Linked DNA regions of Arabidopsis thaliana. The protein of the gene in region 2 interacts with the protein of the main gene of each other region in a pairwise test. Each region holds a gene or a part of one and is shown on either strand. Other genes may lie near its edges.

What was found.
Region 1: the proteins of AT2G42360 (region 2) and AT2G22180 interact in a protein complementation assay, tested with the Arabidopsis thaliana proteins (one large-scale study listed by BioGRID).
Region 3: the proteins of AT2G42360 (region 2) and WAT1 interact in a protein complementation assay, tested with the Arabidopsis thaliana proteins (one large-scale study listed by BioGRID).

The regions. Positions count from the first base shown.
Region 1 is NC_003071.7:9,425,039-9,432,074, forward strand, and holds AT2G22180 (hydroxyproline-rich glycoprotein family protein), read left to right. Parts: upstream 1-3,704; 5' UTR 3,705-3,930; coding exon 3,931-4,806; 3' UTR 4,807-5,103; downstream 5,104-7,036. Other genes in the region: AT2G22160 (Cysteine proteinases superfamily protein), read right to left, coding at 105-422; PLAT2 (Lipase/lipooxygenase, PLAT/LH2 family protein), read right to left, coding at 1,972-2,448, 2,630-2,704.
Region 2 is NC_003071.7:17,637,832-17,644,340, forward strand, and holds AT2G42360 (RING/U-box superfamily protein), read left to right. Parts: upstream 1-2,966; 5' UTR 2,967-3,075; coding exon 3,076-3,786; 3' UTR 3,787-3,959; downstream 3,960-6,509. Other genes in the region: AT2G42350 (RING/U-box superfamily protein), read left to right, coding at 1,414-2,067; AT2G42370 (uncharacterized protein), read left to right, coding at 5,503-6,509. UniProt on the Arabidopsis thaliana protein: E3 ubiquitin-protein ligase able to catalyze polyubiquitination with ubiquitin-conjugating enzyme E2 UBC8, UBC10, UBC11, UBC28, UBC29, UBC30, UBC35 and UBC36 in vitro.
Region 3 is NC_003070.9:28,335,793-28,344,268, reverse strand, and holds WAT1 (Walls Are Thin 1), read left to right. Parts: upstream 1-3,993; 5' UTR 3,994-4,177; coding exon 4,178-4,392; intron 4,393-4,489; coding exon 4,490-4,552; intron 4,553-4,629; coding exon 4,630-4,746; intron 4,747-5,005; coding exon 5,006-5,426; intron 5,427-5,520; coding exon 5,521-5,672; intron 5,673-5,785; coding exon 5,786-5,987; 3' UTR 5,988-6,081; exon of another isoform or gene 6,082-6,487; 3' UTR 6,488-6,543; downstream 6,544-8,476. Other genes in the region: AT1G75490 (Integrase-type DNA-binding superfamily protein), read right to left, coding at 7,604-8,224. UniProt on the Arabidopsis thaliana protein: Required for secondary wall formation in fibers, especially in short days conditions. Promotes indole metabolism and transport (e.g. tryptophan, neoglucobrassicin and auxin (indole-3-acetic acid)). May prevent salicylic-acid (SA) accumulation.

The DNA.
Region 1 (7,036 bases), 8.2 Mb from region 2:
ATTTTATATACTGCAATAAACTTTTTAATAATTTACTTTAGAACATTTAAAGATAGTCTTACTTTACTTGATATTTTTAAATAATATCATTATTAAAACGTTTCTTAGGACTTCTTACTACACGTTGGTCCTTGATCTTTGACATTGGTGACGGCTCCTTTCTCTCTCCAATCCAAGGAATCTGGTGCTTGAGTCATATTCTCGTAGAAGAACGGTTTGGAGTCGAGTATTTTCTTGTGATCACTCATATCAAAACATGTGTGAGCGTTGACAAACTCGACGTCGGTCAAGTTTGCAAACTTGTTGAGCTTGAGCTTGTACGGTTTTCTCTCCTTGTTGGTTTTGACAATATATTCTGCATTTTTTTTAAATACATCGAAACTACTTTCTGTTTGGTGGATGGGCACAAGATAGTGGCCCATCCACCTCTTGTACAACTTTTCCAGACCCTCATCACTTTTTAGCTTTGTCTCATTGTATTTGTTCCATGAGCTTTTAGCTCTAGAATGAGAAGAGTAAACATAAGAATAATTAAGATATGCTTAGTCATTTTGTTTGATTTCTTCTTTTTGATTGTTTTTAGTGCGAGAGTTAAGTAGACAAACGAACACATTCATATATACTTGGTGGATCAAACTTTTTTCTTAATTGCACTGAATGTGTGCATGTGATCGTTAACACAAAAATAGACAATTATATAGTTAATGCTTTAACCTTAAATTAGTTTTTGTCTCAACGAAATTATTAGCCTATCATCTTTTTACGTACCAGTTAAGTCCAAAGAGGTATGAGAAATGAGATGAACATGCGATCATTAACTGTTTCGATGTATTTGAAGATTTTTATGATGAAACAATGTTTTCTCGTCTTTGAAAGCAATATCTTCAAAGTCTTACGCGGCAATTCAAATAAGTCTGTTATTACTTTGTTGCATCGAATCATGTGATCGTTAGTTTAAAGGATTATCACTAGGTTCACTACTTTATCATTTTCTTCATTGTAGTTTATATGACATTTAATTTTCTGTCAATTAATATGATTGAATAAAACCATTTTAATCTGTTTCTTCTAATTTTTATGAGAATCATAAATTCTTTCTTTTTAGACAGTTACTATTATTAAGAAAGAAAAAAACATGTTCTAGGGGGATGGAGATTAGACATAAATATTTTGACCTTAACGAAGTCTTTGTAAATAAATATTATACAATCAGTAATTATCTTTTAAAGGCATATTGTCTATTTATTTTATGTCTAGCTTGTATATTGCTTTGTGGTTCTATAGATTATGTGTGCAGGGATGATCTTTTTCAATTTTCATTGAGGAACTTATTGCTCACACCTTCTTTTATAGATTTAAAAGACGATTAGGAGCATAGTGAGATTTATATGGTGCCTTAGGAGGAATTTTAAAGTCATTCATTTGATAATGGTTTTCAGTTATTAGTATGACCCAAAGAAATGTTCCGTTTCAACCAAATGTCACTTAATTAGGAGGTTTAGGCCAATACCAATTAATGTCGTTGATGTTTCTTACAAAATTGTAAGTTTCTTGTTGACTTTTTGAACATGCACAAAAATGATTAAAATTGTGAAGATCCACTCTGTATTAAATGTTTAAAATTACATCGAAAAATGTGAAAAGGGCCCATCTTTTATACTATTTGGCAAAGTTTTGATTAATCATAAGGTTGTAGCTTTGAACGTTTATTTGTGAAAATAAAACGAAACAAAGAAACTATATCAACCAGTAATTATCTTTTTTTCTTTTTAATATGATCAGTAATTATCTTTTAATTTCATCACACGAAAAACTTAATAATGTTTGATAAAAATCTCACAAACAACAAAGAACGGAACTTTTATTCGATCGAATCATTTTCATTATTGCCATCACACGTTCACAAGACAACAAAGAACAACTCTCCAAGTTACACACACACATACACATTTGACATTTCATTCACTACTCTCACACGATCCAAGAGAGAGTCTTCCGGATCTCAGACCCGACCCGACCGACACTTTCCCTAAGCGAAACTGGACAGTTATTCCGAACAGCACTGAGCTCATACGGCGATGTATCGGACGCAAGCCATTGCTCAACATCAAAGCTTTGGTACGAGCACTTTGCATGAACTCCGGCTGTCGTGACTTCCACGTAGTTAACATACCAACCGTGGTGGTCACCGGAGCCGTCAGAGGTCAGATTTAATGAACAGACTGGGCTCGGAAGACATGGTGCTTTCCCACTGAAAATGTCGAGATTACCCCTCTCGTAGTAGTTGTAACCTGGTCCCATTAAACCACCCCATGCTTCTAGGTTTCGGATCCCGATGTAGTCTCCGTATTTGTCGTAGACTCTAGCGCTTATGATCGAATCTGTACCGGCTTTGAAGGTTGATCCGGTTCTAAGGAAGAATGTGTAGACACAATCTGCTTCATCGTCCTGTGAAATCAAGAAAGTCATTTTTTTAAATGGGAAGAAACAGAAGTTTGTAGTCTAATAGTTTAAACTAATGTCATTGATGTTGTGTCATTATATACATATTCAAATCTGGTTAATGTGTGTGTCTAGTTCTAGACAAAATCATATATGAGAGGAAGCAAGTCAGATTTGGAAAACTTACGGCTAATGCGACAGCGGAGACGGTGGCGATGACGAGGAGGAGTGAGAGGAAGAGGACGTCACGGCGAGGCATCATCGGTGATATGGATGTATAAGAAAGAGAGATCTAGTCTATGGAAATATTAATAGAAATGTTGAAAATGCTAAAGTATATGAGAGTTTAGATTTCAATGATTTAATTATCGTCTGTTTTGGGAGTTGCGTATGAAGATGACGTGGTCGTTTTTGGTCCGTTGGAATGAGTAAGAAATAAGAATAAAAATACTTAAGGATCCTATAAGCACGTCGTTAACTCGGCGGACAGGTCGGCATGGGTTGTCAGATTTCGAAAAAAATTGCATATTTTTTTTTGTCACAAACGCAAATCTTCGTGAGATACAATACAAATGCACTTCATTTTTCGCCAATTAGAATGTAATGTAACAGTTTCCAGTGTAATGCTCGCAACATAACATGTTTCACGTGGATTGGGGCCGGGGAAGAATTAGAGAAACATTAATTTTTGTTTTTGCTTTTTGAAAGAAAACTTTCGACCATATGAAGGTAAGATTTCCTTTAATTTCCTTGATATTTTCATGTACATATGTTTGATTTATAAATGAAAATTAAGTGATTGTGTGTTTTTCAAAGAAAGAAAAATGAAATAAATTTTGGATAGTATTGTCAGCGAAGCAGCAACAAGGCCCACAAACATAATTTTGAATGGCCGGTTGCTGCGGATTAATGTGTGTAAATACATACATTCCGTTCATGTCAATCCCAACGTATATTCGTATATATGCATTTTTCGCTTTCTAAAGAAACAGAAGTTGCAAGAGAATTGAAATAAAAAACACTTTAATGAAAATTTGGTCCAGAAATACCACCCAAAAATGGTTTTAGTTCGAAACGTACAAAATAAAATAAGACTCGTTCATGATAAACATTACCAATATGTGCTAACCTTTTTAAGATTTTACTCATGTATGTCTTATATGCATATATAATTTATGTTAGAAAATCGATATCTTGTAAACAAAAAGTAACAACTTCGTTGATCATCATCAAATGCCATAATACTATATTATATGAGTTCTGTAATATAGTTTTCTAAATAACAGAAAAAGGGAAATTTAAGGTGAGCTGGCTAACTCTAAATAGCAAAATCTTCTCAAAACCAACCAAAAGTTTGAGTCATGCAACAACAACCACTTACTTTTCCCATGCAAACCCTAATTTTCGCATCCTCTCTTAATTCTCTCTCTTTCGTCTTCTCTGTAGACCAATCTCCACCACACATCTCGTAACTCCCACCTTTCTCCGATGGAGGGGCCACGGCGTCCTCCTTCCGCCACCGCCCCTGACTCTGACGATGACAAACCCGATGATCCTCCGTCCGTTTGGCACCGTCCAACCTCTAGCCTCCCCGCATTGCCATCTTTAGATCCTCCATCGCACGGTTCACACCATTGGCGTAATCATTCTCTTAATCTGTCTCCACTCCCAACGACATCTTCTCCGCCTCTTCCTCCTCCGGATTCAATCCCTGAGTTAGAGACGTACGTTGTCCAAGTCCCGAGAGATCAAGTCTATTGGACCCCTCCTCCGGAACATGCAAAATACGTCGAGAAACGCAGCAAGAACCCGGAGAAAAACAAAAAGAAAGGGTGTTCTAAACGTCTTTTGTGGTTCTTCATTATCTTGGTCATTTTCGGATTCTTACTCGGTGCAATCATTCTCATCCTCCATTTCGCTTTCAACCCCACTCTTCCTGTTTTCGCGGTCGAGAGATTGACCGTAAATCCTAGTAATTTTGAGGTCACATTAAGAGCCGAGAATCCAACGTCTAACATGGGAGTACGCTACATGATGGAAAAGAACGGGGTCGTTTCCTTAACGTACAAGAATAAGAGCCTGGGGAGCGGGAAATTTCCGGGGTTGTCCCAGGCCGCATCTGGATCCGACAAGGTCAATGTGAAGCTTAATGGGTCGACCAAGAACGCAGTTGTACAACCTCGTGGATCGAAGCAACCGGTTGTTCTGATGCTGAATATGGAGCTGAAGGCTGAGTATGAAGCAGGGCCGGTCAAACGGAACAAGGAAGTGGTGGTGACTTGTGATGTTAAGGTTAAGGGACTATTAGATGCGAAGAAGGTTGAGATTGTGTCGGAGAATTGTGAGAGTGAGTTCAAGAACTGACACTCGCTCTATATATATTTTATATATAACATGATTGTGTCGTTAGAGTTAACAATGTGCTTAATTAATTCATACTTTCTATGTAATGTTCAATTGTTCATTTTTTTTCCCTAATGTCTTTGTTTTTACTCTATATTGTTGAGCGACAAAAGAAAACGTGAACAAGAAGAACACAATAGAGTGAGCGTCTTTTTTTTTTTTTAAATGTACCTTTGCTTTTACAAATAAATTTAGTTTAGCCCAGATTACAAATAAACAGACTAGTCAGAACTTCTTAAAAACAGAAGATATAATTGGGCCTAAATGCAAAAGTAACATTTCACCTCCTAAGATTTTTCCTAGACCAAGTGTGTACAAGCAATACTCCGAAAACTTGATGGGATCATTCCCTCTTTTTTTTTTCTTTTTTTTTTTATCATTCTCTTTTTGATAAGATCATTCTCATTTCTCAGTGTTGTTAGTTTTATTATAGAAATGTAACTTACATTTTGGGAATAAGTGCCGTCTGTACATTTCTATTAGTTTAACTTTCTCTTTTTCTGTTGGAATGTAAAATTTAGCTTCAACAAAGATATTTATATTTTAATTAATAGAGAATTTCAAAAGTTTGAAAGAAAAGATAGACTTTTAAAAGAATGAAGATTGAAAAGAAACAAATAGACTTTTAGAAGAATGGAAGTTGAAAAGAAACAATCTTGATCAGTACTTCTTCCTTCGAGCCAACATCTAATGAGGTCGTGAAGACAAGTCATATTAAAATATAGGTGCGAGGAGACCCGATCTGTTATTTTGTCGATCACTAGAGCTGACGGTTTACTGTTTCGTACGGTAAAAATTGAATATAGTCATTACACTATCGCTCACAACAAACATAAGAGATAGAAGCTGAGAATTTTGATAGTGCCATTGACGAGGTGGGGTTGCATATGCATCCAATCAGGAGTGAGATGCGAGCTTAGTAGAGGACCACCAACTTAAGGCCACGTTTTGAAGGAGAAAGGACTCATAAAAATATATGATCTTTGGCTTCGTCGAATTCGCCATAGTCCATAGAGGTACTTGTCTGCGAATGCAACTACCCGTTTAGAGGCGAATGTGTTAATAAACGGAAATGCTTTGCGAGAATCTGGCCTCACCATCTTATTGTTCAATAAGTGGAATGTATTAATAAGAAAATACAAATTATGAAAGTTTATACAAAAATATTTTTATATTTCACCGCAGATTTCAAAATGCAATGTTCTTTTTTTTTTGTGCGCTAGTTATTTTAAATATACTTGATTATTTTAAAAAATCGAATATACATAAAGAATCATTTATTCTATACCCCTACCATCTACCAAGAAAAGGTTGAGTGGTCATTTTCGCGAAACCACAGTGGAGAAACAATAATTGTGTATAAAGATATTCCACTAGAAAGTGAAACAAATAGGTCCAATTATTTATTAAGGGCACCTTTGGACCATTTTCACAGTCCTAATTATGACAACAATATTGTTATCTTCTAGCAAGAATATAAAAAGACAAATTTTATAGTTTATTATAAAATGAATTCTTCATTTCGGGTAAAGGTTGGATATATAAAATTGTATAGAAACCAGTAATAATAGTTAGGATATCAAAGAACTATTTGATGTATGATGTTTTGCAAGACACTATATTCATTTATTCTATTTTTTTTTGTGAGCGTACCAAACAAATCAAATTAAATACTATTTTATGTATGATGTTTTGCAAGAGACTATATCATTCTAAACTAACTAGCTAATATTGAATTTCACACATTTTGGGATGAGCGCAGTATCCAACTCTATTTAATGCTTTAAAATTTAAACATTTGCAATCTTGATGTAAAATACAAACATTCTTTTATCATATAATTCCACATGGTCGGTTGGTTGGAACGCACGCCTAGGCCTCACTCTTATTTGTGTTTCTCTCTTTTCCTTCACACCACTACATTCGAAAGTTCCGATACAAAAGAAAATTTCCTTTTTTGTTACTTTAAATTTTGGTGTCTAAAAAAGTTGACTATCCAATCAAAAGACATTTAGAGTTTGCCAAAAGATTTTTGTTTTTAGTCCACCTTTTAGACATGTCACAGAAAATTATTATTCAAGTGAAGGGATTGGTGATCAATGTTTTTGCTCCCTATAATTTGGGCATCTAAGTCACATGCATCCCCATGTTACCAAGTAGTTTGGAACATCTCACAGATCAACATATACAT
Region 2 (6,509 bases):
AATTTCGGTTTTCTTTTTTTTTTATAGATTTATTTAATTCTATTATATTTCTTCTCAAACCATTTTAGTTCTACTATCCTTATTCTTGATTATTATAAAACCAACAACCAAACACACTTTTAACATTATATATACTTATCAAAACTAATATTTTCGATTCTCAAATATTTTTAGTTTATATTTATATGCATTGAAAATTTCAATTCGAAAGATATTACTTTCTAATCTACTAAAAATTAAAGTAATTATTTATATGACAGAATCTTTATAAAAATCTAACAAAAAAAATGAGTTTTGACATCCCAAAATAAATGATAACATATTATATTTTCTTATTAATCATTTTATTATAATTGGGATCCAACAAACATCAACATTTTATTCTTTGAATTACAATGTTTATTATAATTATCTTCAGAAAATGGTAAGAAACTTATAATATATATATATATATATATAAGTATATTTATTAAACTAAGTTGTTTATACATATATATACCTTATAAGATACTCAAAACCTATAAAAAAATTTACCCACAAAAAAAAAACATAAAAAGGATAATCAAACTACACCTGATTACGGGAAGGTTTTTGGTTTCATAGTTCTTTTTATGTACATAAAAAAAATGAGACCCAAATCCAGTGAGATATGAAAAGTACAAATATCTTAAATGAGAAAAAGTCATTATTTCATTGTTAATTATAATTTTAAAAAGATAAAATATAATATGTTTTGAAGATATATCATCAAAATACAATGACTTTTTTCCTACAAGTATATACAAGGAAACAAAAGAGCTAACGTGTGGAAAAAAAAAAACAATTAAAAAGAGAGTTGAATTTTTAATATATTCACACAACTTGTAATAGATTAGCATGTTTGTCTACTTCGAATACTCTTCTTCAAGTCAAACCATATGATTCTCACACGCAGCCTCGCTCCATACCTCACGTTATAACTTTAAAATTTCGTATTTTCTTGACTATGCTCCATTTACATTAAGTCCTGTCATATTATTGGGAGAAATTGTATCATCATATATCTAGAATTCTCATATACACTGTCGACATGTTATGTATTACGGTATAAAGAATATTGCAATCCTATATTATTATTTTTTGAATTTCCAAAGTTTAATTTAAAATTAAGAAAATGATAACAAATCCGAGTAAAGTCAACAATTTCCTTCGAAAATTTATGAGTATTCTGCTGCCTATTTTCTCACACCCACCAATCATATTGTATGTCCCTTGAATCCAAGTAATAGCTATGAAGAATAAACAAAAGTAGAAAAAATAATAAAAAACAATTTAATTACACAACATGAGATCCATTCAATCTATTAGTAACTTGTTATTAGATTATAGTAACCACTTTCTGTCTCTTGTTCTACCAAAACAAAACGCTTCATCATGAGCTCTAACAACAAAACTGATGATTCCGACGACCGTTCTTTCTGGCAAAACTCGACTTCTTACGATGCCAGCAGCAAGATTTTCCTCGTCACCACCGTTTCCTTCTCTATTATTATCATCATCGTGTTCGTTTATTATCTCTACGCAAAATTCGTTCTCCACCGTAGATCAGCCTTCCAAGACCTCTCCTTCTCTGTCGTTTCTCAGCCGCCAAAACGTGGCCTCGATTCTCTAGTCATCGCTTCTCTCCCAACGTTCGTGGTTGGAATCAAGAATGACGTGGCGGGTACGGAATGTGCGGTTTGTCTAAGCTTATTGGAGGAGAAAGATAATGCAAGGATGTTACCGAACTGCAAACACGTGTTCCACGTGTCTTGCGTTGACACGTGGCTCACCACGCAGTCCACTTGTCCCGTTTGTCGAACTGAAGCCGAGCCAAGTCATCCAAGGCTTGAGCCTGAGCCTAGGGAAGGGCCAGTTGGCGACTTTGCACCGCCGTTAGATTTCGCGGGGGTTGATAACAAAACCGGCGGATCATCGGTTTCGAGGTTAGACTCGTTCCGGAGGATTTTGACAAGGGAAAGATCTTCGAACAGGCGGGATCATTCTCGCGTTGACCAAGATCGTGAATTGGATATTGAAAGACAGTGAATTCAGTATATAGTATATACACACATACGCCGGTTAAAAAAAAAAAAGTATAAACACACATGCATCCATAATTAATCCTTAATTCATGAACCATAATACTTCTTCTTCCTTTTAACTTTTTATTCTTGTACTGAAATCTTTTGTATGTGTAAATATGAATGGCACACTTTTTGTATGTTACAGTAATTACAAAAACATTGTTGCTTATTGCTTAACGTGTGAAAAGGGGAAAAGAAAAAAAGAAAGTTGAACTTGTAACATACAATCGAGACAATTTTGTTATTAAGGTATATCTAATGCGTGTGTGCCCTACATAGACGACTCTTCTTCAAGTCAAACTTTGTGGTTCCCACACGTATCCTCACAGGCTCACACGTTTTAACCTTTAATTTTCGTATTTTCTTGACTATATATATTATCATTTTTTGTTGACAAAATAAATTGTATTATCATATTTTAAAATTTTGATAGCAGTATCATATGTAACTCTAACATTCTATGTTTAGAGATGAATTTATCTATATATATCTACTTGGATAAACCAATTTGCACCATACTATTTGCAGCATATGAGACTAACTAACTCTTGATACACTGAAATGATGGTAGACAATTCAGTCTATATATGCGAGTTAACTCCTAATACCGTGAAATCATAATAGGCAAATTCAGTCCACAAATTTTTTACGTAGGATTTTGATATTTTCCACTCTTTATATATACAGTCTATAATCTTCAAACCTATCACCTATAAATAATCTACAATCTACCATTTAGTCAACAATGGTGAAATTTCTAAACCCTCGTGAAAGTCTACCTATCTCCCAAAGTTTCTAATTCTATCTACTTCACATTTTTCTCCACCCACCAACTAAAGTATAAGCCTTGGAAAAACAATCAAAATAAGAAATTCTATAAGTCCTTTATTCCTTATATAATAAATCATAAGTTAGTAAACTCTTTTGTTCACTTTTCTTTTGCATCCACCGAAGAAAAACCAGCTTCACAATGAGCTCCAACGACAGAGATCATCGCAGGTTCAACTCTGACCACCACTCATTCTGGCCTAATCCGTCTACTTACGATCTTAACAGCAAGATCATGCTTGCCGCAGTGGCTTCTTTATCTGGAGTTATCCTCATCGTCTTCGCTCTTCATCTTTACGCAAGATTCGTTCTCCGACGCCGTAGAGAAGCTTTCCGTGGCCTCCCCGTCATTTTCCGCCACCCTTTTGAGATGCCTAAGCGTGGCCTCAATCCCACAGTCATCGCTTCTCTCCCTACTTTCACTGTTGGAGCCACTGATGGCGTGGCTGCCTCCGCTACTGAATGCGCAGTGTGTCTAAGCGTGTTAAAGGAGCAAGACAAGGCGAGAGAGTTGCCCAACTGCAAGCACATCTTCCACGTCGACTGTGTTGACACGTGGCTCACCACTTGCTCCACTTGTCCTGTTTGTCGGACTGAAGTTGAGCCAAGACCGAGACTTGAGCCTGAGCCAAGGGAAGGACCAGTCGGTACTGCACCGCAGTTGTTGGTGGAAACCAGGCTGAACTTGACTGTAGAAGCCGCATCCTCTTCTTCCTCAGATAACAAAACAGTTGTATCCCCGGCTTCGCGATTAAATTCGTTTAGGAAAATCTTGACGAGGGAAAGATCTTCGAACAGGATCAACCATTCTTGTCCTGACCAAGATCGTGTGGCAGATCTTGAGAGACATTGAGTCGACATATAGATACATATTATGCATATAAATCATATACACATATCGATAATCTTTAATTTATACAATATCCTCCTTTCTTTTTTACTATATCATGCTCTGTTTTTGGTTTTAGATAGTTTTGTGTAACGGAACACTAAATATATGTTAGTCAAAAGATACATCTGGTGCAGTTCATGCCATTCAAGTTAACTATTCACAGTGGTAGACAGTACATATCAGGGCTCCATAAAAGATGCAGAACCATTTTAGTTACATAAAACTGAGGGAGAAGAGAGATCATAAAAGGGTTACCTTCAATCACCAATCGGAAGCTAAACCTGTTGGATAATCAGTGTCATTGTCACAATGTGGCCTAAAATGACGAAGGGTGACAACCAGCTGCTAAACATCCGCCTTGCTCGGCTCAATCTGAGAATTCTGGTGCAGTTGCTCCCTGCATTGAAGTGGCATCTGCGATACTTCCATTGCTCACTCCCTTACTGCACACCAGATTTCAACAGCATGAGTGTAACTATTACTATACTCAATGAAACGAAGCCTCATGGAGAATGAGAACATTTTCAAAAAAATTGCTTTAATAGTTTTTGAAACTTCTTCTATGTTCTGCAGTAACTGCATCATATTGATAATATGAACAATATAATCACCAAGATCAAAATCAATTGTCGAGGAGAAGTGAAGTAACTTCATCCTTCTAAGCCAGAAGCTAATGAAAAAAACAAAAAAAAGATTTCATTTCACTCAAAAGTTCAAAACCCATCAAACTAGAAATCATTTTCTAAAAGAACCTATGATGGATCAAAATTGCTCCAAACAGACTATAAATGAGACACACACACAAACGCTAATTGGCAATACAAATGTGGATTACTTAATTACCTTGAAGGAAACTTGCATGTTCCTTGACCTGAAAACGAAAAATTGCAGAAAAAGCATCAAACTTTCAACATTTTCAATTAGCAAAAGTCATAACTATCTGCTAGACATTGATCCTGAAAGAAAATGTGAACTTACTAGGATTGAGAGAAGTAACAGCTGCGTTGTTACTAAAGTTGCAAGCTTCATCTGCGAGACCATTCCATCAGATAATAGTTATTGAATACATACGAAGCCATCTTCACTATATCCAATGGATCGTAGCAGGATCCACCTTGCTGAATCTAGACGCAATCAGCTCCTCTGGGACCACAAGCCCAGTCAATGGCCGTTTAAAGTGTTGAATCCTCAACGTTGTTCTTCGCCACGCACCAAAGCTCCGTCTCTAATACCTCCCCACCAAACTCCGCAGTAGCAGCAACCGTAATGAGGAGAAATAGAGAGATTCATTAGGAAGCAGTGAGGCTGAGAGAGAGAATACACGATCATTTTCCGAGAGATTGATCGATTTTGTACTCGGAGATTTCGAAGAGGAGGAAGAGTGTGAATTTGAAAGAGTCGAATAGATGTTGGAGTTTGTTGTGATTAATGTAAAGATTTGGGTGAATAATGTAAAATATTTTAATTCTTACCGGTTATTGAACTCGGTTATACTGATTTGGGCCGTATTAAACTCCGGCCCATATACATATGGGCCTCTAATGAAGTGTTTTTAGCTGCTCTGTTTTTGATGACGGAGCATATTAATTATGGTTAATTAGTAAACAAAAAGACTCTTTAGCTCCTTAACCTTTTCAATTTCTGAAAGAGGAGGAGATCGGAAAACAAAACCCAGTCATGGATCCTCCGGCGAATCCTTTTGCATCTCGAGAGCAAGATACAGTAACTATTTTAAGAAACCTGATTAAGCAAGCTACTTTGGAGGAAGAAGTCTCTGAAGCTTCAGAGACACATTCTGTTCCGAACAAAATCAGAATTTTAGAGTCAGTGTCGGACGAAATGAGGAAATCGCAGGAGAACGGTAGTGATCAGAAACAGTTGAGTGAGGAAGACGAGATTGATATTCTGGATTCAAAAGCCATGAGCTTTTCTTTTAGTTGTCACGGTGGTGGGCCAAAGCGGAAGAAATGTAACGATAAGAAACGTAAGCAGCAAGAAGAGAAGTCTAAGAAGAAGCTCAAGGTACTTGTTGAAACATTAAAGCTTGTACCTTTCAAGCCATTAAAAACCCTAGATTTTGCTTGTTATGAGAGTCTCTTAAAGACTCTCGGATTGTGGGATTTTGTGCATTTGGAATTTGATCAGGATATGGATTATGATCTTGTGGCTCAACTTATAGCTTCCTATAGTGCTGGAGGTAAGTGCAGCTATATAAACGGGTCTAGGATTAAACTTAGTCGTGCGGATTTGGCTCGATCTTTGAAGTTGCCTAATAAGAAAGAACGTGTTGTCATTCTTGATGAGGATAAGGAATTTCTGGAATCAGATGAATCAATCAGTGTTGTTGAAGATGTTATCTCTAATTGGATGCTACTGCATTGTGATGATGCGTGGATGATGCCAGATGAAGTGGTGGAATGGATGAAAGGTATAAAGAAAAAGCAATTGGATAAGCTGGACTGGGCTGGACTGATGTGGTTTATGGTTGAGAAAGAGTTGAAAGCGGAGCCTCCACTCGGGGATTGTTTCTATGCGTCGCATTTGCAGATGGTCATTAGATCACAGAAAATAGATCTGTTTAAGGAGAGGGATTTGAAGGTAAAGGATGATATTGCTGCTTTGAATCTAGGAATGGATGATGGAGCCACTGACTCAAAGAAAGAAAACTGTGTGGAGGAAAGTAC
Region 3 (8,476 bases), on a different chromosome or scaffold from region 2:
GATTATGACTGATCACAAGTATTGTCGTAAATAAGTGATAGCATTTAGCGTATCGGATAATTAGTGAAAGAATAAGAGCCGAGTTTATATAACTTGGTCATATTAAGATTCTAAATTTATGCATTAATCTTCTCAAATACCTCTAAAAGTAATTTACATTCTTTTATCTTGGAATTTAGGTTAAAAGCTAAATCTTTTGTGGTAAAGTTCAAAAGTGGAGTGAGAAAAAGAGAAGAGAGAGAGATCGGAGACAAGAAGATTCGCTCGTGGGCGAGCAAAAATGATAAAGAAACGAAATAAAGTGAGGAAAAAGGAGACAAGGCAATTAAATATTCCAACTAAGATTGGTCTCCCTCTTCTTCTTCGTCTGCTCGTTACCGGTTACTATCTTGTTGGGTCCTTACCCGATCCGTTACTGTCTTGCTGGGTCCTTACCCGACCCGTTTCTTTACCCTTTACCGATTGAGAGAGATAGACTTAGATCGAATATCATCCTTTATATATCGGGATCTTCTTTTTCATCCTAAAAAGGGTTTTGTTTTCTTCCTTTTTTAACTAAATAAGGGTTTATCTTCTGTCACAAAGACCAAAAATGCTAATTAATTCCTTTTATTTGTATTTTAACTAAACACTTTTATAAGCACTACTGCACTAGTTCCGGAAATTGGGCTAATTAATAGTGAAACTTTAGTCTTTACCATCAATAATACGCCCTTCTTTTATAACAATTGATGTTTAGTGATCTTTCATATTCATTAAGGAACAAACTAAAAATATTTCATCCTACCATCTACTGATCTACAATAAATTAATTAGTGCCAGTGTTGTGAAATTTTGAATTAAATTTGACACCTTAGTTAATTATGAGTTCAGTGCTTGTTTCGCATAGGTAACAACGAATCATCATTTGAGAATGATATAAAACAACCTAAATATATGCAAGTGTAAATCATGAACCTACGTTATAGATCCTAATATAAACCATATATAATTAACAAACTAATATGTGCTGGATTTGGTATGTCCAGCTGGGTATGTCTTCATTTATCTCTCAAAATTTACTGATACTATAGCTAATAGCTATATCTGAAAAGAGTAATTCCCAATTTCAACATACAATAACAAGATATTCATCAATAAGATCACTTTTACTAGTTATGAACAGTACCTGGAGAAACAATTGATATTTTTCAATTATCTACCATACACATCATCGCGTAAATCAAACCCTCAAATTCTGAATGAATTAGAAGGAAAACTCATGCCAAGACCTCTGGCAAACTACGTATTTTTATTATGATGAAATAATCATTTACAAGAATTGTAGACAGATTTGGAAATCTCAGTATAGTTAATGAAGGGGTCTGCCTCGACAAATGGCATTATGGATACGGTTGAGCATACGTGTACCACTTGCACGGCCAGTTTCATCACATATATACATACTCCTTTGACCTTTCTTAAGTTTTTTTATTTATTTTAATTTAGGATTACCCCGAAACTACACCATAAAATTTGTTTTCAAAAAACGTCACAACCTTTTCTTGTAAGAAGCTTTTCTACAACTAATCTAGTAAGATTTTACAAAACTGTTTCGATTTTTTTTTAAAATGCTGATATCATTTTGAATGTCCCAAAATAATCCCTTCTTTAGGATTACTGGAAATGTTTTAACAAAATTGTTTTAGTGATAATGTTTGTAGCTAGAACTACAACTAGTTATTTATATATTTTGATAAATTTTTAATTTTGTAGGAACAATTTTCTATAAATGTAGAAAATATTTACAGAAGTATGATATTATTAGAAACAATGATTTCTTATACAATTAAAAAACATGTTTCGCTGTGTATTGAGATATTTTCTATTCAATTTTGATATGAATAGCATCTATGTCAAGAACAGAGGATACAAACTTTAGTTTAGGTTCATCGGGATAATGGTAGAATAAATATATTTTATAAAATAGAGCAATTAGATAAATTAGTGTAACGTGAAAGTATAACTAAGTTTAACTAGATGTATTAAAATGTTAAGGTAAATATCTTTGTTATTGTTCATAAAAAAAAAAGATTTTTGTAATAGAAATGGAATATAATGAAGTAATGAAAATTCCATATTGTTATATTTTGTTATGTTTTACATGTTGCTGCATATAGTTTATCTAAAACAGATTTGTGACAAAATAATATTCCATGAACAATTTTTGCCATGATATTTCTTTTGTCGTGATACATTCGTGGAAGGAAAGAAAAATACATATTTGGTTTGTTTTCACGTGGATATGCACATGTTTCTGTGTACAATTTACTAAATTGGTTTCTCTGGGTTTACATTGTCGATCTCTCCAAAAATAACAAGACAAAAAGAAAGAGAAAAATGAAAGCATATACAAGCAAGCAACCATAAAATTTTCGATGATTCTATTCTATAGGGATACAAATGTATTTGACTATTGGAAAACAATTACACACGTCTATTCGATGAGCACAAAAAAATAGAACTAAAATAAATTAACAAGAAAAATAAAACTAAAATAATTGAGGACAAATACAGATAATAATATTGGTGTAAGCGTGTACATAAATATTGATCGTGTGGGTGTGCCTGCGAAATAAGAGGTACTGTGGGTCTCACGGTTCGGCAGTGCGCGTGGGGCTCGTCCCTACAAAATTAATTATGTAACATAAATAAAATCAAGAAATATATTTACCAAAAAAGAAAGTAAATAAAAGATGTTAAAACGAAATGTCGTACATTTATAATTAAGAGTGTTATTCTCCTGAAGACTATACTGTACAAGTAATAATTAGTAGCAATGCCATGCTGCTCAATAAATATCAAAGGAAAGGACAAACTAAAACCATTATAATGTCTACGATAGTGAGTGCAAATTGAGGAATAGAGTCGTAAATAATGATATATTTTGTGCTTTTTCTATTGTTATTTTTACCTTTTTGATTTTCAGAATTAAATGATTTTAGATATACAAAAAATTAAGAATCATAATGATGGTTGCGTTAATGAGTAGTGGCGTGAGGGTTGTCATGTCAGCTAAACAGCAGAAAAATAAAAGAATGTGGGAGACAGGCTTTGCCCTTTTACACATTTTTAAGCTCTCTTCTTTATTTTCTAAAAACACTATAGTACACAGTTAAAAATTTGCGGGCCCTTTGTTTAATCGATTTAGATTTAACCAACAGCTTCATAGTCGTTTCTTCTTGTTAGAAATCAATAAATGAAAAGTTGGTTGTTTTGAAAGCATATAATTAACTAACAATGTATCATGTTGTGAAACAAAAGCTGATGATAAATGTTAAATATAGTGTCCAAAATTTTGGGAATGTCTTCAAATTTTGATTTTAAAACATATGAGATGTACCAACATCCACAAAATGTTTGTGAAGTTGTGACTTAGTGAGACGTTGTCACTTTATTATCTCGTTTTGGTAACGGTAAGTGCATGTGAACGTGTTTGATTATAAGTTTAACCCGACTTTGTTTACGTGGTCATAGTTTCCAATAAGGCTAAGTAGAATAGTGTATGATAGTTTTCAATTCAAGAGTCTTTTTTTTCCAAGAAAATCCGAAAACACAATCGTTTATTTTAATATCTCAAAAGAAATCATATTTCTTAGGTAAAACTATCATACGTTGAGTTTTTCTTTCTCCTTTTGCGATTTTCCCTGAAATATATTTATGTTGTGTGTGTGCTTTGTAAACAAAATAATAATGAACGTAATAATAGTAAAACAAAAAGTAACCTATATTATTATCATACTTGATATAACCCAATAGAGAAATAATAATATAAATTAAAATTTTATTTCCCAATTCAAAAATCATAATCAAGGAGTGAATGCTGCCAGTAGACCAAAGTAACAATATTTGGTGTGTACATCAAATGATAGGAAACAACAAAAACTCATTAATATACCTAAATCCATATATATATATATATATATATATTTCAATATTTCACATTGTTATAATTAGGTTTAATAGATACCATATTAGAAATCTCAGTATGGTGGTTCCCACAAGCAAAGAGGGGAATGAGATTGCTATCTACCTATATTTATATCTCCGCAACTTCACTCTTTTCCTCAATCAACACACACAAACACACACACACACAGCCTTTTTCCTTCGTTGATCGATTGTTAAGCTCGATCCAATGGCGGATAACACCGATAATCGGAGATCCTTATGGGGAGTTCCGGAGAAGCTTCAGCTTCACATAGCGATGCTGACGTTGCAATTCGGTTACGCCGGATTCCACGTGGTGTCTCGAGCTGCTCTTAACATGGGAATCAGCAAACTCGTCTTCCCTGTTTATCGTAACATCATCGCCTTGCTTCTTCTCCTTCCCTTCGCTTACTTCCTTGAAAAGTAACCTTCTATTTTCACTTCACTTCTTTATTTGAAAACCCTATTTTTTCTCTAGTTGCTAGTTATTTAATTACCAAACTTAATTGTGTTAATTTAGGAAGGAGAGACCAGCGATTACTCTCAACTTTCTCATCCAGTTCTTCTTTTTGGCACTCATAGGGTATATATTTATATCCTTCACTCTGATCTTTTCAATAACAAATTTGGATAATTAGTTAATGAATTATTACACGACAGAATAACAGCGAACCAAGGATTTTACTTGTTGGGACTGGACAACACTTCACCAACATTTGCTTCCTCCATGCAAAACTCTGTTCCCGCCATTACCTTTCTCATGGCTGCTCTTCTCAGGCACTTACTCTACACATCTCTCCATTTTCATTCTCTTTTGATTTATAAAAATAAATAACAATATTTTGGACAGCTTGGATATACAAGAACCACTTTAATAATGTCCATTTGACTTTTCAACGTAAAAGAAACGGATAATAATACACGTAGACAATATTTAATGCCGTTTCCATTTGCTTACAAAATAGTGATAATCATAGTAGTAACAACAATGTAACATACTGTTTATGTACTGTATGTGAAAAAAACAATAATTCAGGATTGAGAAAGTAAGAATAAACAGAAGAGACGGTATCTCCAAAATCTTAGGAACAGCTCTTTGTGTCGCCGGAGCTTCCGTCATCACCCTCTATAAAGGTCCAACCATCTACACTCCGGCTAGCCACCTCCACGCTCATCTACTCACCACAAACTCCGCCGTCTTAGCGCCGCTAGGAAACGCCGCGCCTAAAAACTGGACCCTTGGTTGCATCTACCTAATCGGTCACTGTCTCTCGTGGTCAGGCTGGCTTGTTTTCCAAGCTCCGGTTCTTAAGTCTTATCCAGCGAGGCTCTCGGTTACGTCTTACACTTGTTTCTTCGGAATCATTCAGTTCTTGATCATTGCTGCTTTCTGTGAAAGAGATTCTCAGGCTTGGGTTTTTCACTCCGGTTGGGAGCTTTTCACCATCCTCTACGCCGTTAGTTTTTCTTTCATCTGTTATAATTAATTCGTTTTTGGCCCTAATGTTTCAAAATAATCAATTTGGTCCTAATGAATTGATTTAACTTCAGGGAATCGTAGCGTCTGGAATCGCGTTTGCGGTTCAGATTTGGTGTATTGACAGAGGGGGTCCAGTCTTCGTTGCTGTTTACCAGCCTGTTCAGACTCTTGTCGTTGCGATCATGGCTTCTATTGCGTTAGGCGAAGAATTTTATTTGGGCGGGTATGAAACTATAATAATATTAGTGGTTTATATAAATACTTGATAAAATCCAAGGTCCTAAACAAGAATAATTTTAAAATTTGTTGTGCCACATGTCATATTTCTAATGGCAGGATTATTGGAGCGGTCTTGATCATAGCGGGACTTTACTTCGTATTGTACGGTAAGAGCGAAGAGAGGAAATTTGCAGCGCTTGAGAAGGCAGCGATCCAGTCCTCCGCGGAGCATGGTATTGAACGTGCACCTGTTTCTCGCAACTCCATCAAGTCGTCCATCACAACACCACTACTCCATCAGTCAACGGACAATGTTTGACTACTTTGGACAAATCACTCTCCAGCTAATAATTACAAATGCCATTACCCAATTAAAAGGGAACAATGGTGTGCCGTTGTGTTTTATGACTTTTGTGTCTGCTTTTTTTCTTAGTGTTTTCTCTTCTTTTTTTTTTCTAAAAAATTATTAATTACCTAAGAAAGGTTTTTGAAGAAAGGAAAAAAAATGGTGGATGAGACATCATTGTTCATGAGGATGATGATGATGATGATAGTGATGAAGAAGACTATGTGGGAGCTTTGGATTGAGACTTTTCTATATATAATATCTGGCTGATATATTAGTGCCATTTTTTCTTACATTTCTTGTGGGGTTTTTCTTTCCTTTATCATCAATAGAATGTTATAATTTGCATTTATGATCTTTAGTAATTATCACTGTCGGGGATGTTTAAAATGGATTAGATCAAACGCTTTGTTCTGAACTGAAGTAAAAAAAGATCTTTAGTATTTGATTAAAATGATCTCTTAAAGAAACAGTTTTTTTTTACAAATTTAGTTTATTATCAAATATCCAATAAAAATTCTTAACCGAATGAACAAGTTAAAAATAAACCAACATTTAATATATATAATATAATATGGACCAACTAAGTTATAGTATGGACCAATTCTTGAGTTGAAAGTCCATAGATTTTAACATGGTATTAAAGTTTAGCTAACTTGAGAAAGATGTGTTGTTCGATATATAATTTTTGGTCCAATATTAGAATTTTGTTTGAAATAGACGGATAAAAGCATTATTTTAAGGAGAACGTGTTAAAAATTTCACATATACACTTCAATGCTCTACATTATCTTTCTTGGTTTTCTCGGATCAGCTTACACGTCAGCTTTTTACATATAAAATATCATCTTTTAATTTGATGTAAACAAGAAGTTCATTAACAGAATTTCATATCTTATTTACCTTATACAAATAAATTTCATTAACAAAAGAAATTCATATACATAAGGAAAAACACAGTGCATAAGCGACTTTGTCTCATAATCGTTATCTGGCATAGGTTAGTCTACCATGTGGATTCAAGATTTCGTATTTGAATCCATTAGTTAAATCATATATAGCCCGTTATTGGAGACTGGAGACCATATATAAGCCGAGATATAATGATGTTGGGCCGGAATAAACGGGCCAGGTTTGTTATAAACCACGCCATATAGTCTATCAAGACTCGCGAGGATTACACGTTAGTACAAAGAGAAGCTAAGAAGAAGATGCAAAGAAAACCAAGAGAATAGTCAAAGACTTAAAAGCCCATAGAAACAGAGACATATAATAGTTACACATTGACCGTTACACACAACGTAACATCCCGTTTTCTTTATACAGATACATTGCACTTGATTTAATAGTTTTCCCCATGACACATTTTTAGCTTCGAGACAAACAACTGTCGTTTTTATGTTTTTTTTGATATGGTAAGAATCTGCTTTCACACTATACAGACAAACCACATATATAGATGTGCACATATATAAGTACATGTAACTGGTGTTTATTTACATATATATCCTAGTTCACGGTGACTATATTTGTATATATATGTAGTTTGTATATGATAACTTAACAATTAAAGAGAGTCTAGTGACACCTCAAAGTGGGGAATGAAAGGAATCCCAATTAGAATAGCCACCGGAAATACAAGTATCAAACCGAGAAATATCATTATCTCCTTCATGAACCCATGGAAATCCTAACGACATTGTAGCTTCTTCCCATATTGAAGAATCATCCATTACCGGCAAATCCACGTTTATATGCTCCCATGATATCTCCTCTGTCACTCTTCCACATGATGACATCTCGTTGGATGAACACGGCGACTCAGAGTCGCTGCTGCTTTTTCCACCGGTGTTGCTGCTTGGTGTAGTCTGGGACGCCGGAGACGACGCCGTTTTAGGGTAACTTCTTAAGGACTCAGGGAGGTTGAGATGAGCCTCAGGCCCATAGAGCTTACGAGCTGCGGAGTCATAAGCCAAGGCAGCTTCACGGGAGGTGTCGAAGGTACCGAGCCAAAGACGAGCTCCTCGGTTAGGCTCGCGGATCTCAGCGACCCATTTGCCCCAAGTGCGTTGTCTAACACCTTTGTAAGTGCAAGACGCGTTATCGGGTCCACCTTTTCCTCTCATACAACCTTTCCTCGAACTAGCTTGGACGGTTCGTTGTTTCTTATTAGCACCAACCATCATTACTTTTGGCTCTATGGATGACATGTACGGATGTTGATAACTCGAAAGTGATATTATGTGACGACTTTTGGTGAGTGATAAGGCAAAGACATGAGGTAATGGTTAGGTGTGTATATATACTAGAAGAGAGTGATGAAACGTGGCGAGGAGAAGATATAGCTGGCGCAGACATGACGGAGGGTCGTGTCGAGAGGAGGAAGCTGGTGTTGTGTTTGTAATCCTAACACTTGTCTCGAGAGACCCTTCTTTTTTTGGCAACAGTAATCGTAAAACCAG